Linked DNA regions of Danio rerio. The protein of the gene in region 2 interacts with the protein of the main gene of each other region in a biochemical or structural test. Links are inferred from orthologs where the notes say so. Each region holds a gene or a part of one and is shown on either strand. Other genes may lie near its edges.

Evidence for each region.
Region 1: the proteins of npr2 (region 2) and nppc form a complex in vitro, tested with the Homo sapiens proteins (3 studies listed by BioGRID). The link is inferred for Danio rerio from reciprocal best matches to the Homo sapiens genes NPR2 and NPPC.
Region 3: the proteins of npr2 (region 2) and nppa form a complex in vitro, tested with the Homo sapiens proteins (3 studies listed by BioGRID). The link is inferred for Danio rerio from reciprocal best matches to the Homo sapiens genes NPR2 and NPPA.

Annotation. Positions count from the first base shown.
Region 1 is NC_133197.1:40,812,277-40,816,651, forward strand, and holds the start of nppc (C-type natriuretic peptide precursor), read right to left. Parts: upstream 2,891-4,375; 5' UTR 2,777-2,890; coding exon 2,681-2,776; intron 1-2,680.
Region 2 is NC_133180.1:59,952,696-59,956,351, reverse strand, and holds part of npr2 (atrial natriuretic peptide receptor 2), read right to left. Parts: coding exon 3,604-3,656; intron 3,516-3,603; coding exon 3,347-3,515; intron 1-3,346. UniProt on the Homo sapiens protein: Receptor for the C-type natriuretic peptide NPPC/CNP hormone. Has guanylate cyclase activity upon binding of its ligand. May play a role in the regulation of skeletal growth.
Region 3 is NC_133183.1:58,370,599-58,374,998, reverse strand, and holds the start of nppa (natriuretic peptides A precursor), read right to left. Parts: upstream 2,947-4,400; 5' UTR 2,909-2,946; coding exon 2,795-2,908; intron 1-2,794.

The DNA.
Region 1 (4,375 bases), on a different chromosome or scaffold from region 2:
CCAATGTATTCGACCCATATTCGACCCAAACCCAAAGGTTTTTTTCAACACAATTTTAACAACACTTTTAGATACCAATGATTGGGTTATTATTATTTTTATTTAATTTAAACAACACTTTTAAATACCAACAGTTGGGTCTTTCCATATTTGAGCCAAAACTGGGTTAATTTTGACCCAACAATAGGTTCATTTTTTCCAAATACATTTAAATGACACTTTTTAACCCAATTGTTTCTTTTGTCCAAATTTGACCAAATGCTGGATTTATTTTTCAATTAAATTTAAATATCTATTTTAACCCAGTGGTTTGTCCATTTTTTTTGACCCAACAATTGTTCAATACAATTTAAACAACACTTTTAGATACCAACGGTTGGGTTTGTCCCTATTTGACCCAACATTTGGGTTCCTTTTTCCCAATCAATTTTAAGCAACAGTTTTTAACCCGGGGTAAAACAACCCAGCATTGTTTATAGAGTCAATGCAGAATGTAAATGTCATGTGTTTGGAGTATTAAAAACTCTGCATTAGTGCAGAACTCAATGCAGTCTACCACAAACACGCTGCTAATAAAACTCTAAAGTCATTAAAAACACTGCAGCAACCTTAATCATCCCATATTTTGATTTGTTTCAGAGCTCAGAACTCACCATTAGTACTCACTATACTCACATCTGTGCAGAACACATACTTTATAACACATATTTTAAACAATTTATATACTGTAAAAATGTTACTTGTCACATATTTGGAGTATTTGAAGCTGGAATCTGTGTAGAACACGGTTGTTAAACAAACTTTGCTAAACCTAAATGGCTTTTTTGAGAATTAGTACTAAACATTTGGACAGAGTAGAAGTTTGTTGATAATCCAATTTATCCTTTCTTAAAATTAAATTCAAATATAATGATCATAAAAATCCAAACTGCTGCTTTAAAGCAGTATTTCCAGCTGATCTGACACTATAGGCTAAACTAAAATAAACTAATTCAGTCATACTAAACAAGACCTTTTAAATAAATTAGTTTTATATCAAACACATTTTAGATGACAAAACATGAACTTAGTTGTAATATCATCTAATTAAAAATTCTTTCAGCTATTAAAAACTAGTAATAAGAGTAATATTAATGAAACCGTAATTTCAGTTCTTCGCATTACTGTCATCAAAGTCTATTATTTAATAATTTTAACAACAATTTATTTTATTTGGTCCTTTTTTTAAGTACAGTCTCAGAAATAAAGATACAAAGCTGTCGCTGGGTATAGCTAATTAATAAAAGGTACTTTTTAGGTAAGTAAAATTACACTTTTAGTTCTAATTTGTACCTTTAAAATACCAATACAGACCATTTCGGTGCAAACATGCAGCTTTTGATTAAGCTGACAGCTCATTTACCTTTTAATATGCAAGTGCATAGTGGCAACAGGTGACATGTTTAAAACTGATTAACTGTATGTTATATTATTAGTACTTGTTTTTATGTTGAAATTATCATTAATTAGATAGAATCGGAGAATTAACACAGATCGCGCCAATATTTGTCTTAAGCATCGCCTAATTTGTGTTTGTTTGGCGTTATGAGGAGAAACAATCACAAATAAATCAATCAAATCATTATATGCTGGAAGAATTTGATAAAATACAGATGTTAAATCCTAGAAAACTCCGTTTATCTTCTTTTCCCCCAGAAAAGCGGTCTTTCATGCAACTGTCAGCGTTTATATTTGGTCTTAATTGAATAGTTGTCAGATTTATGAGTTGATGCGCAATCCGATTCCTAAACAAACCTGATTTAATTTAAAACAGTCAATTTATGTATTTATAGAGTACTTTTTTAAGCAAGAGGCTGTTAATATAATGTCAAAAGCAAATCTTTAAAATGAATGAAAATGTTTTCTTAAAAAACATTGCGTCGTGAGAACAAGTGTCGCTTTTGGGAGTTCCCGAAGATGAGGATAATGGACGTGTACATTTCGACCTCAAAATTATATTAGTTTATTTAAAAACTCACAGTTTTACACATATCATGGCTTATTTTCACCGACGCGTCTTTTAATAGAGCTATCAGCTACTTAAAAACTTTTAGCCTATATAAAAAGCCCACCTATTATCGGCAAACAAAGAAAGCAGAAATCACACCTTTGAGGTTTTATATTCGCACATTCAGACATAATTCTTCGAAATATAGTTTCAGAAAAGCAAACTCTAAACAGGGAAATTATATTAGCAGCCAATGACTATTTAAGTTCACATTCCTAAAATAATTAGCAATTTTAAGTCGCCTACTTACATGCGATTTCAGACCGAATATTCAAAGTTGTGGAAAGAAAATAAGTTGGCACCATCTGCTCATAACAGCATGTCATTAATTAATCTGTATTAGTTTTTAAAATTCTTCTTTAACATCTTATGTGCGAATATAAAACCAACCTCAATTCACGCACAATAAATTAAATTAAATAGCGGCAATGTTGATTTTAAGTCATAGGCTACATGCGATTATAATAAAAAATAAGTTGTGCTCATGACACTTTAATAATCATTCTGTATTTGCCTTTTAAAAATAATCTCATTCACACTTTTATCGAACGTCAATAAAGCCAACTTTACCTCAAATAATTACACCGCCTAAATAATCGATAGGAAACAAGCACCTGTCGGCATCAAACTCACCCTCTGTTCAGCCTGTGTCAGAGGTTTAGTCTCTGTCGTGCTGACTGAAAGGAGAGTCAGAATAAGTCCACAAGCCAGCAAATGCGAGATGATCATGGTGATGGAGATGCTGATTCTGGGTCAGTGTTAAAAAGAAAAGCTGCTTTAATGTCGTCTTGAAGAAAGCACGCCCTTCATTTACTCCCAGAGGTGTCCAGCTCTACTCTTTACTCTAAGAAAATTCTGCTCAGGGTTTTTATAGGCGATATGACATCACTCCTGTGACGTCACACCAGTTACCCGCCTCCCTTTAAAAAAAAAACCCCTTTGGCAGTTTCTCCAGGTCTCTGCGTCATAATAAGTTACCGGCCGTCGTATCAGTGACCGGCGCCGTGTCTTTGAGGAGATCTGAGATGGATGTTTAGGTTTTTTAGTCACTGTTTGAGAAGCTACAGGTGGGGAAACTACAATCAGACGTGAATTCATTCATGATAACTGATGAATCACTGCGGACACTTGAACAATCAAACTTTTGTTGTATGAAAAAAGATGTTCGTCATGTAGTTAATTAAAACACTCTGTTTTAATGCCATACGAAGTCTAAACGTGCTCATGTCCCACGTGGAAATCACAGTACTACAGTGTTTTTAATCACATCATAGTAAAGTGTATTTTCCCGTCTGTTCGGAGAAATAGAAAAATATCATGAAATCACTGTTTTAATGCCACAAGAAGTCTAAAACTGCTTACAAACCGCATTAATTTATTTTATAGTAAATACGACAGTGTTTATATAACAAAGTCTGTTTTTTTCTTTGGTCTGAAGAGAAGTAGAAAAAGATGTTGATTTGACATTTTGTTGATTAAACCTCTCTGTTTTAATGCCATAAGAAGTCCTAAACAGCTTACAAACCGCGCGAATGATTCAGAACAATACTATAGTAAAATCTATCTATCCGTCCGTCCATCCATCCATCCATCCATCCATCCATCCATCCATCCATCCATCCATCCATCCATCTGCCCGTCTGTCCACCCATCCATCTGCCCATCCATTCATACATCCATCCATCCATCCGTCTGTCCATCCATCTATCCATCCGTCTGTCCGTTCGTCCATCCATCCATCCATCCATCCATCCATCCATCCATCCATCTGCCCGTCTGTCCACCCATCCATCTGCCCATCCATTTATACATCCATCCATTCATCCATCCATTCATCCATCCATCCGTCCGTCCGTCCGTTCGTCCATCCATCCATCCATCCATCCACCCATCCGTCTGTCCGTCCATCCATCCATCCATCCATCCATCCATCCATCCATCCATCTGCCCATCCATCCATCTGTCCATCCATCCGTCTGTCCGTCCATCCATCCGCCCATCCATCTGTCCGTCCATCCATCCATCCATCCATCCGCCCATCCATCTGTCCGTCCATCCATCCATCCATCCGTCCATCCATCCATCCATCCATCCATCCATCCATCTGCCCGTCCATCCATCCGTCCATCCATCCATCTATCCAAAATTAATTAAAATAACTTTTAAAACTTTTAAAAATTAATAAAAAATGAATAAAAATAAATGAATATTGAAGTAAATAATGTTTTATTGCAACACTTATCCTAATATGTCTTTTCATCCACGTCTTTTAGAATTTTTAGTTCAATTAAAAATAAATAAATGTATAAACCTTCATGAATACATAAA
Region 2 (3,656 bases):
GTGTCTAAAAATGTCAAATTAAATGTAATTATTACATCTGTGCAAATGTGTCCCCCACCTTTAATCATGGAGCAGTCGAGCTGTCAAATCAGTAAACATTTAGTTTTAAAAACAAAATAGTTCATTCATAATTTTGAGAAACCAATCGTTTCAAAATCATTTTTACAAAATGCTTTACATGTTATTATTATTTTGCATTAAGATAGAAATGTAGAAATCAGAAAATCAAATCAGTAAATCAGTAAGTCGGCCCATTACAGCTTCTTCTATTGAATATAAGTGAAAACTTATGATTAGTCACATTGTGCCATTACATTTAAACACATTTACAATTATAACAATCGTACAAATTCTGTTGAGCTCATAAATGCAGTTGGCAATTAGTGATTTTAGTTAGTTTCTCGTAAAAATAGTGAGCTTGTTTTTTAAATAAAGTGTTGTATTTCATGCTAATGTGCTAAAAAGTGTGTTTCATGCAACAAAAAAAATGTAAAATTTTGATTCTCTAACCTTTAAAACACTTTAAAATAAGGTTTTTATTAGTTAATGCTCATTAATGTATTTACTAACATGAAGTACACTATTGTTGTCTATTGGAAGGAATGCGTCAATAGAGCCGCCATTTTAGTACAGGGTATCGCTCCTTTGAAATGACTATGGGACCAAGGTGCAGTGGCAGACTGGCTATCCGGAGCCAGAGATATATACACATGTATACATATATCTATGATTGGAGATCAGTATGTAAATATTTTTTTGTTATTACGAAAATGATCATTTTACATCACTTTTCTATATCGATGGACAAGTGATTGCATGGGCATTGCTGACAAAAAGCATGTGTTTGTGTGCATGGAAATGTATTATCCTCTCTACCTATTAAATTTAATCTGTGTCCTGAAACACACACCCTCTCCTGCTTTTTTAATTCTAACGCAGGAAGCATTTCATTTGTGAATGAATCTTCGCGTTATGAACAACTCGTGTGAACCATTATCCCTGCATCTCAATGTGCACATCCACCTTCCACAGGGGAATGAACTGCCAACTTATCTAGCATGTTTTTACGCAGCGGATGCCCTTCCAGCCACAACCCATTTCTGGGAAATATCTACACACACACACACACACACACACACACACACACACACACACACTCATACACTATGGACAATTTAGCCTACTCAATTCACCTGTACCACATGTCTTTGGACTGTGGGGGAAACCGGAGCACCCGGAGGAAATCCACACAAACGCAGGGAGAACATGCAAACTTCACACAGAAATGCCAACTGAGCCAGGGTTCGAACCAGCGACCCAACAACCTTTTTGCTGTGAGGCGACAGCACTACCTACTGCGCCACTGCATCACCTTTATTATTTGTTCATGTTAGTAAGTGTATTAACTAATACAACCTTATTGTAAAGTGCTACGAAAAAATCTTAGCTTGTATTCTCTGTGTAGCCAGAATATGGTAATACCTCTTACGTGTTCTGTTAATCATCATCAGTAACCATTACCACAATATAAAGAATATAATCTATATTAATGATTTTGTGTTCAATGACTGTTAATCTGTTAATTCATGATGCTTACTTTAGCATCAATAAATGTCAGTTAAAACAAACATTGTTGGTCTTTTAGATATAGAACATGTTCCATAATTTCAATAAAGATGTTGATATCCATCATTTAAACATCTGCAGAACTTTCAACAATCAGAATAATCTTATCTTAAAAATGTAAATAAAAGCAAGACTAAAAACTGATGCTCCCAAAACCTTTGTGAACAGAAAATGTAAGTGTATGTGCAATTACTTGTTATGGTGTGCTTTGTTTTCATTTCTTTAAAAGGTGTGCAGTAATTACTGCCTGCCAGGGCTTAAATGTCAGCAAGGGATCTGCTAAAGGCATAAATGCCCACAAATATATATTCACTATGGCATGAAGGATGAATGAGTAAATGAATCCACATATCAAAGGAGAATTTGAAAATGCTCTGCGCCTTCACAAACAGCATAAATGAATCAGCATAATGCATCTTAACAGAGCTGAATGCTGTCAAAGTAATTATCACTTGCCCAATGCAGCCATTTGGTGCTTTGTCAATAAAGTTTCTGGGTTAATTAACCCACACTGAACTGAACTACTCTGAACTGAAATTTTGAAAACTGAACTGACAGTTTCAATTTACTATAATCTTCTATGTTAAGCTGCTTTGACACAATCTACATTGTAAAAGCGCTAGAGAAATAAAGATGAAATAAAGTTTCCAATCAATTTTAAGACTTGCTTATTCAAGCATGCTATCAATTTTTTTTTCTAAATAAACAAATAATTACTTCAAAAAGCATATCTTGTTAGTATTCACTTTTTGTCAGTTATGTCTTGAATGAACATGAACAGAAAATGCATGCTTTTGACTGCTGAACAAAATGTACACATTCATTCTTAAAGTGACAGTAGCCTATACCTATAATATATAAGTCATTCATTCATTCATTCATTTTCCTTCGGCTTATTCTCTATTTTAGAGGTCATCACAGTAAAATGAACGATTAACTATTCCAGCATATAATTGCCCTTTTAGTTGCAACCCAATATTGGGAAACACCCAAAACCACTCATTCACACACACACACTCATACACTAGGGACAGTTTCGTTTATTCAATTTACCCCCAGCAGGCACAGGATGTCAACATGACATCAGTTTCACGTTGTGCCCCAAACGTGTGTTTGCTTTCCATCGCAACCTAAAAGCAACAAAATATCAACGTCTAATGATGTTACAGCTTGACTTTGTTTGGACGTTACCAATATGAAATCTACCAGACGTTGGATTTTGGTTGCCATACCTGATGAATAAATGTCAGTATATGACGTCACTATGACGTTGGTTTAGGATGTTGGCTTGACAGTGGATTTGGTCACTTTCTGACAAAACCTAAAATCCACGTTATCAACTAATTAAACACCAAAAGACAAACAAACAGCTCACTTCTGAATCACTTTTGTACCATTACAAATTTTCTGTATTAATTCATATGGAAAACACCAGTGTTTTATTTTAGATTTGACTATTAAAATACTATTCAATTTCCCTTCTGTAGCATGTAAAGTCCTAGCTACAGCTTTTCTATGCATTAAAAATAGCACAAATATTTTTCATTTAATTAAAATGACTTAAAATTGTAAAAAAAAAATTTAATTAAAATTTTTGAAAATCTGTTTCGTAAACTTTTTTGCATACTATAATACACTAATAAAATGACTATATTTTATAGACTTGTTGGACAAACTATTAAAAGGCACAAATGTAAATATAATCAGTTTAAGTGCTTACTTGTTAAATTTTGCAATGAAGACCTTAATATGGCTGAAGTCGGGTCTTTCTGCAGGATCTTCAGACCAACAGCCTTCCATTAAGATGGTCAGCTCTTCACAGTGCCGGCTGTTGTCTGTAGTGGGCCTAAAGTATGGTTTCTGGCCATTCCGCACCTTCTGAATTATCTCTGTAAAAAAAAAATAGACAAACAATGAAATTAATTCCCGTCAGTGGAGAACACAATTATTTCAATACATTTATTTTTGAGCTTTCACCTTTGGGACTAAGATCCATTCCTTCAACATAAAACGGCCCGTTCCGGAGTGCT
Region 3 (4,400 bases), on a different chromosome or scaffold from region 2:
GATTGGTTTAAGCTTACTATAGCCTGATTTCACCCTACTGCTTTATCTTTGTTTTGGAAGAATCCCTTCTTCCACCCCATCGCTTTCTTTTCCTTCTTTACCGCGAGGAGCTCTCAAGACTTACCTGATCTCGGACCCCCTTACATGCTTAAAGATTTGCCGGGATCCCTGGGCTCAATTATTCCCAAGTTTATGGTTCTCTCCCAGGACAGCATGCCAAACTTGCTAATAGTGTCAAGCAATAATCTAATCCTAAACTCTTGGAATCAACTTTGGACAAAAGTGGTGCGCAGATGACCTTGACCTTTATATATTGTACCTTTTATATATTGAATCCCAAGATCATTTAAAAATACCATTAATAAATGCTCCAATACAACTCAACCTTCTTTTTTTTTCTTTTTTTTTTTTGCTATGATGAACCATTTTTGCTTTCCAAAAGAACTTTTCAGTAGACAACTGCGAAAAGAACCCTTTTTCCATAGCATGAACAACATTTCGAGAATTTAAAGAACCTTTTTTTCCACTATAAGAACCATTTATGCAATGGAATATTTCAAAAAGTAAATCAAAAAATTTTTTAAAGAACATTTTGTCCAATGGAAAATTCCATAGGTATTTGCGAAGTGTTTTTCCTCTATAAAAACCTTTTTTTTTCCCAATTGAACATTTCCTAAGGTGAATCTAAAGATATTTGTCCACTATAAGAACTTTTGTCTGATAGAAAGTTCAATAAGTGCAACAAAAAAAATTCCAGAATAAGAACCTTTTGTTTAAGGAAAAATTTTAATATGTGCAACTAAATAATTTTGTTTCCACTTTATATAAACCTTTTTTCCAATAGAAAATTTCCATAGGTGCATCCAATATATGTTCTCACAATAAGAACCATTTGTCCAATGGAAAATTTCCATATAGGTGAATCTAAAGTTCCATGGATCCATGTAAAGATTTTTTCCCTATTATGAGAACCTTTTGTCTAATAAAAAATTCCATAGGTACATATACAAGTTTTTTTTTTCACTTTAAGAACCTTTTGTCCAGTAAAACATTTCCATATATGGATCTAAATATTTTTTTTTGCTATAGGAACCCTTTTTTCAATGTAAAATTTCTATGGGTGTATCTAAAAAGAATGTTTCCAGCAATAAGAACCATGTGTTCAATGGAAAACGTCCATAAGTGAATCTAAAGATTTTTTTTTCCACTGTAAGAGCCTTTTGTCTAATGCAAAGTTCCAGATGCATGTAAAGATTTTTTTCAATATAAGAACGTTTGTCAAGTGAAACATTTTCATTTATGCATTTAAATATTCTTTAACTATAAGAACCTTTTGGCTAACGGAAAATTTCCATTGGTGCATCTAAAAAGAATGTTTCCAAAAATAAGAATCATTTGTCCAATACAAAAAGTCCATAGGTGAACCTATAGGTTTTTTTCCACTATGAGGACCTTTGGTCTAATGGAAAGTTTCCATAGGCATATCTAAAAAGAATGTTTCCAACAAAAGGAACCATTTGTTTAGTAGAAAACTATAGAAGAGTCTAAAGATTTTTTTTCCCACTATAAGAAGCTTTTGTCTAATGGAAAGTTTCATAGGTGCATGTAAAGATATTTTTTGTTCCATTATAAGGATCTTTTGTCCAATGGAATATTATTATAGGTGCAAAAAAAAAAAAAGCACACAATAAGAAGCTTTTGAATTAAATAAAATGTTCCCGCTATATGTAAAAATCTATTTTGTCCAATGTAAAATTTCCATAAGCGCATCCAATATTTTTTCCACAATAAGAACTGTTTGTTAAATGCTGAGTTCCATAGGTCCTTGTAAAGATTTCTTTTACCATTATAAGAACCTTTTATCCAATGGAATGTTCCATTGGAATGATGTCTAATGGATAGTTCCATTGGTGCATCTAAGTATTTTTTCTTTCTACTATAAGAACTTTTTTTTCAGAGGAAAATTTCCATAGGTGCATCTAAAAAAAAATGTTTCTAAAAATAAGAACCATTTGTCCAAAATAAAAAATGTCCATAGGTAAATCTAAAGATGTTCTTTCCACTATAAGAACCTTTTGTCTAATGGAAAGTTCCGTAGATGCATGTAAAGATTTTATTTTCAATTATAAAAACCTTTTGTCCAGTGGAACAATTACATATATGCATCTGAAAAATTCTACTATAAGAACTTTTTGTCCAATGTAAAATTTCCATAGGTGCATCCAATATTTTTTTCTCACAATAAGAACTATTTGTCCAATGGAAAATTTCCATAGGTGAATCTAAAGATTGTGTTTCCACTAAGAATCTTTTGCCCAATGGAATGTTGTTCCACAGGTGCATCTAAGTACTTTTTTGTATACTATAAGAACCTTTTGTCTAATAGAAAATGTGCATAAGTAATTTGCAATCATTTTTAACTAAAAGCCTTGTGTGTCATAAAGATTTGAAAAATGACTGTGCATATAAAAATCCCTCGCACAATAAGAACCATTTGTCCAACGGAAGTTGTTAATAGGTGAATCACAATACTTTTGGAGAATTGGAAAGTTTCCATGAATGTTAAAGATTCTTTATGTAAACATGCTGCCAATGACCTTTTAAGAGTATCTAATAATTTTACTTCTTATTTTTTCGATATTGAAAGTCACATAAAGAACCTTCAACATCAACAGAAAACTTCAACTGTACAAAACGTTGTAAAAGAAGTTGTTTCAGTGACGAAAAACCACTAACTTTTAAGAGCACTGACTGTTTACCTCACATTGAATTGGTTAAACATAAACCCAAATACCTTGAGCTTGGCCATGTTGCTGTCAGAGCTGTGTCTGCTCAACGTGTGCGCTTGTACATCCGTCTGCTGCCAAACCAGGAGCAGCAGTCCTGTCAGAATTAGTCCCCCGGCCATCTCTGAGTGTCTCTGAATGCGTTTTCTTGCCCTCTGAACTGGCTTGGCTCTTATATAGGGACAGTTGGCTGTCAGTGGCTCATCCGTGGTAAAGCGTGTGAAGTGCATTCCGACACCTCGTCTGTGATAACGCTTGCTGGGGCAGATTTCCTTTTAAGTGGCTGTTTTTCGCAGGCCTGGAGAAGTCCTGGTAACTCGGACACAAACAGTGACCTCAGGCATCATGGGGAATGAATCCGCTGCACACGAGTGGCTCACATGCTTCCGGCATCAGATACAAACTACAACTGAGTATACCATAAGGGGTTAAAGCAGACCGCAATCCTATATATAGGCCAATGATGCAGACTGAAGGGATGACTTTGTGGACTATATGTAAAATATGTTTATTGGAGAGGTTTTATCTGACTGATTTCTTGTGTTGTTGGCATGATGACCGCACATAATATTTTACTACACTGTTACGACACTGTATAAAAAAAAACCTGTTTATTATAGGTTTTCTGTATTTTCTGTTTATAAACGGTTGTGAATTGTATTATGGGATGTTGATCTCTTTCAATGTTGAAAATTAAACTTTACAGTTTAACAAAGTGCATTTTATTGACATTTTAGTAGTTTGAAATAATATAGGTTTAATAAATAATATATAGAGATACACTGACCGGCCACTTTATTAGGTACACCTTACTATTACCGGGTTGAACCCCCTTTTGCTTCAGAATCGCCTTAATCCTTCGTGGCATGGATTTAACAAGGTCCATATTGACATGATAGCATCACGTAGTTGCTGCTGATTTGTCAGCTGCACATCCATGCATTTGAATCTCCTGTTCCACCACATCCCAAGGATGCTCTATTGGATTGAGGTCTGGTGACTGTGGAGGTCATTTGAGTACAGTGAACTCATTGTCATCTTCAAGAAACCCCAGTCTGAGATGATTTGTGACATGGCGCGTTTTTTTGCTGAAAGCAGCCATCAGAAGATGGGTACACTGTGGTAATAAAGGGATGGACATGGTCAGCAACAATACTCAGTAGGCTGTGGCATTGGCACGATGCTCAATTGGTAAACATCAGTTTCAGTTCTTTTCAGTGCTCTCCCTACTCAGACTATAAAACATCTCATTCACAAATATTCTTTGCTGAGTCTTGTTTCTCTAAAAACATTTGCAAGCGTTATTCCTGTCAAGCCTTGCTTTTTGATCATTGCCTTGTTTAATTGTTTATGCTGTTTGCCGCCTGCACTGACCTCTTTGCCTGTGACCTCGACTACACTTCTGAATTACCCTCATGATATTTTTTGTACCTGTTGACCATTGCCTGTCTGAAAAATTCATAATAAACTGCACGTGGATCTTAAACACTGTTCTAATGGTACAATAATGTTGTAATATTTCTATTTTTATTTTTTTATGCTATATCTTATATTATTTGATCCTTTTAATGTTTCTAAATGTTCTAAAATGTTTATTTATTTATTTCATAACCT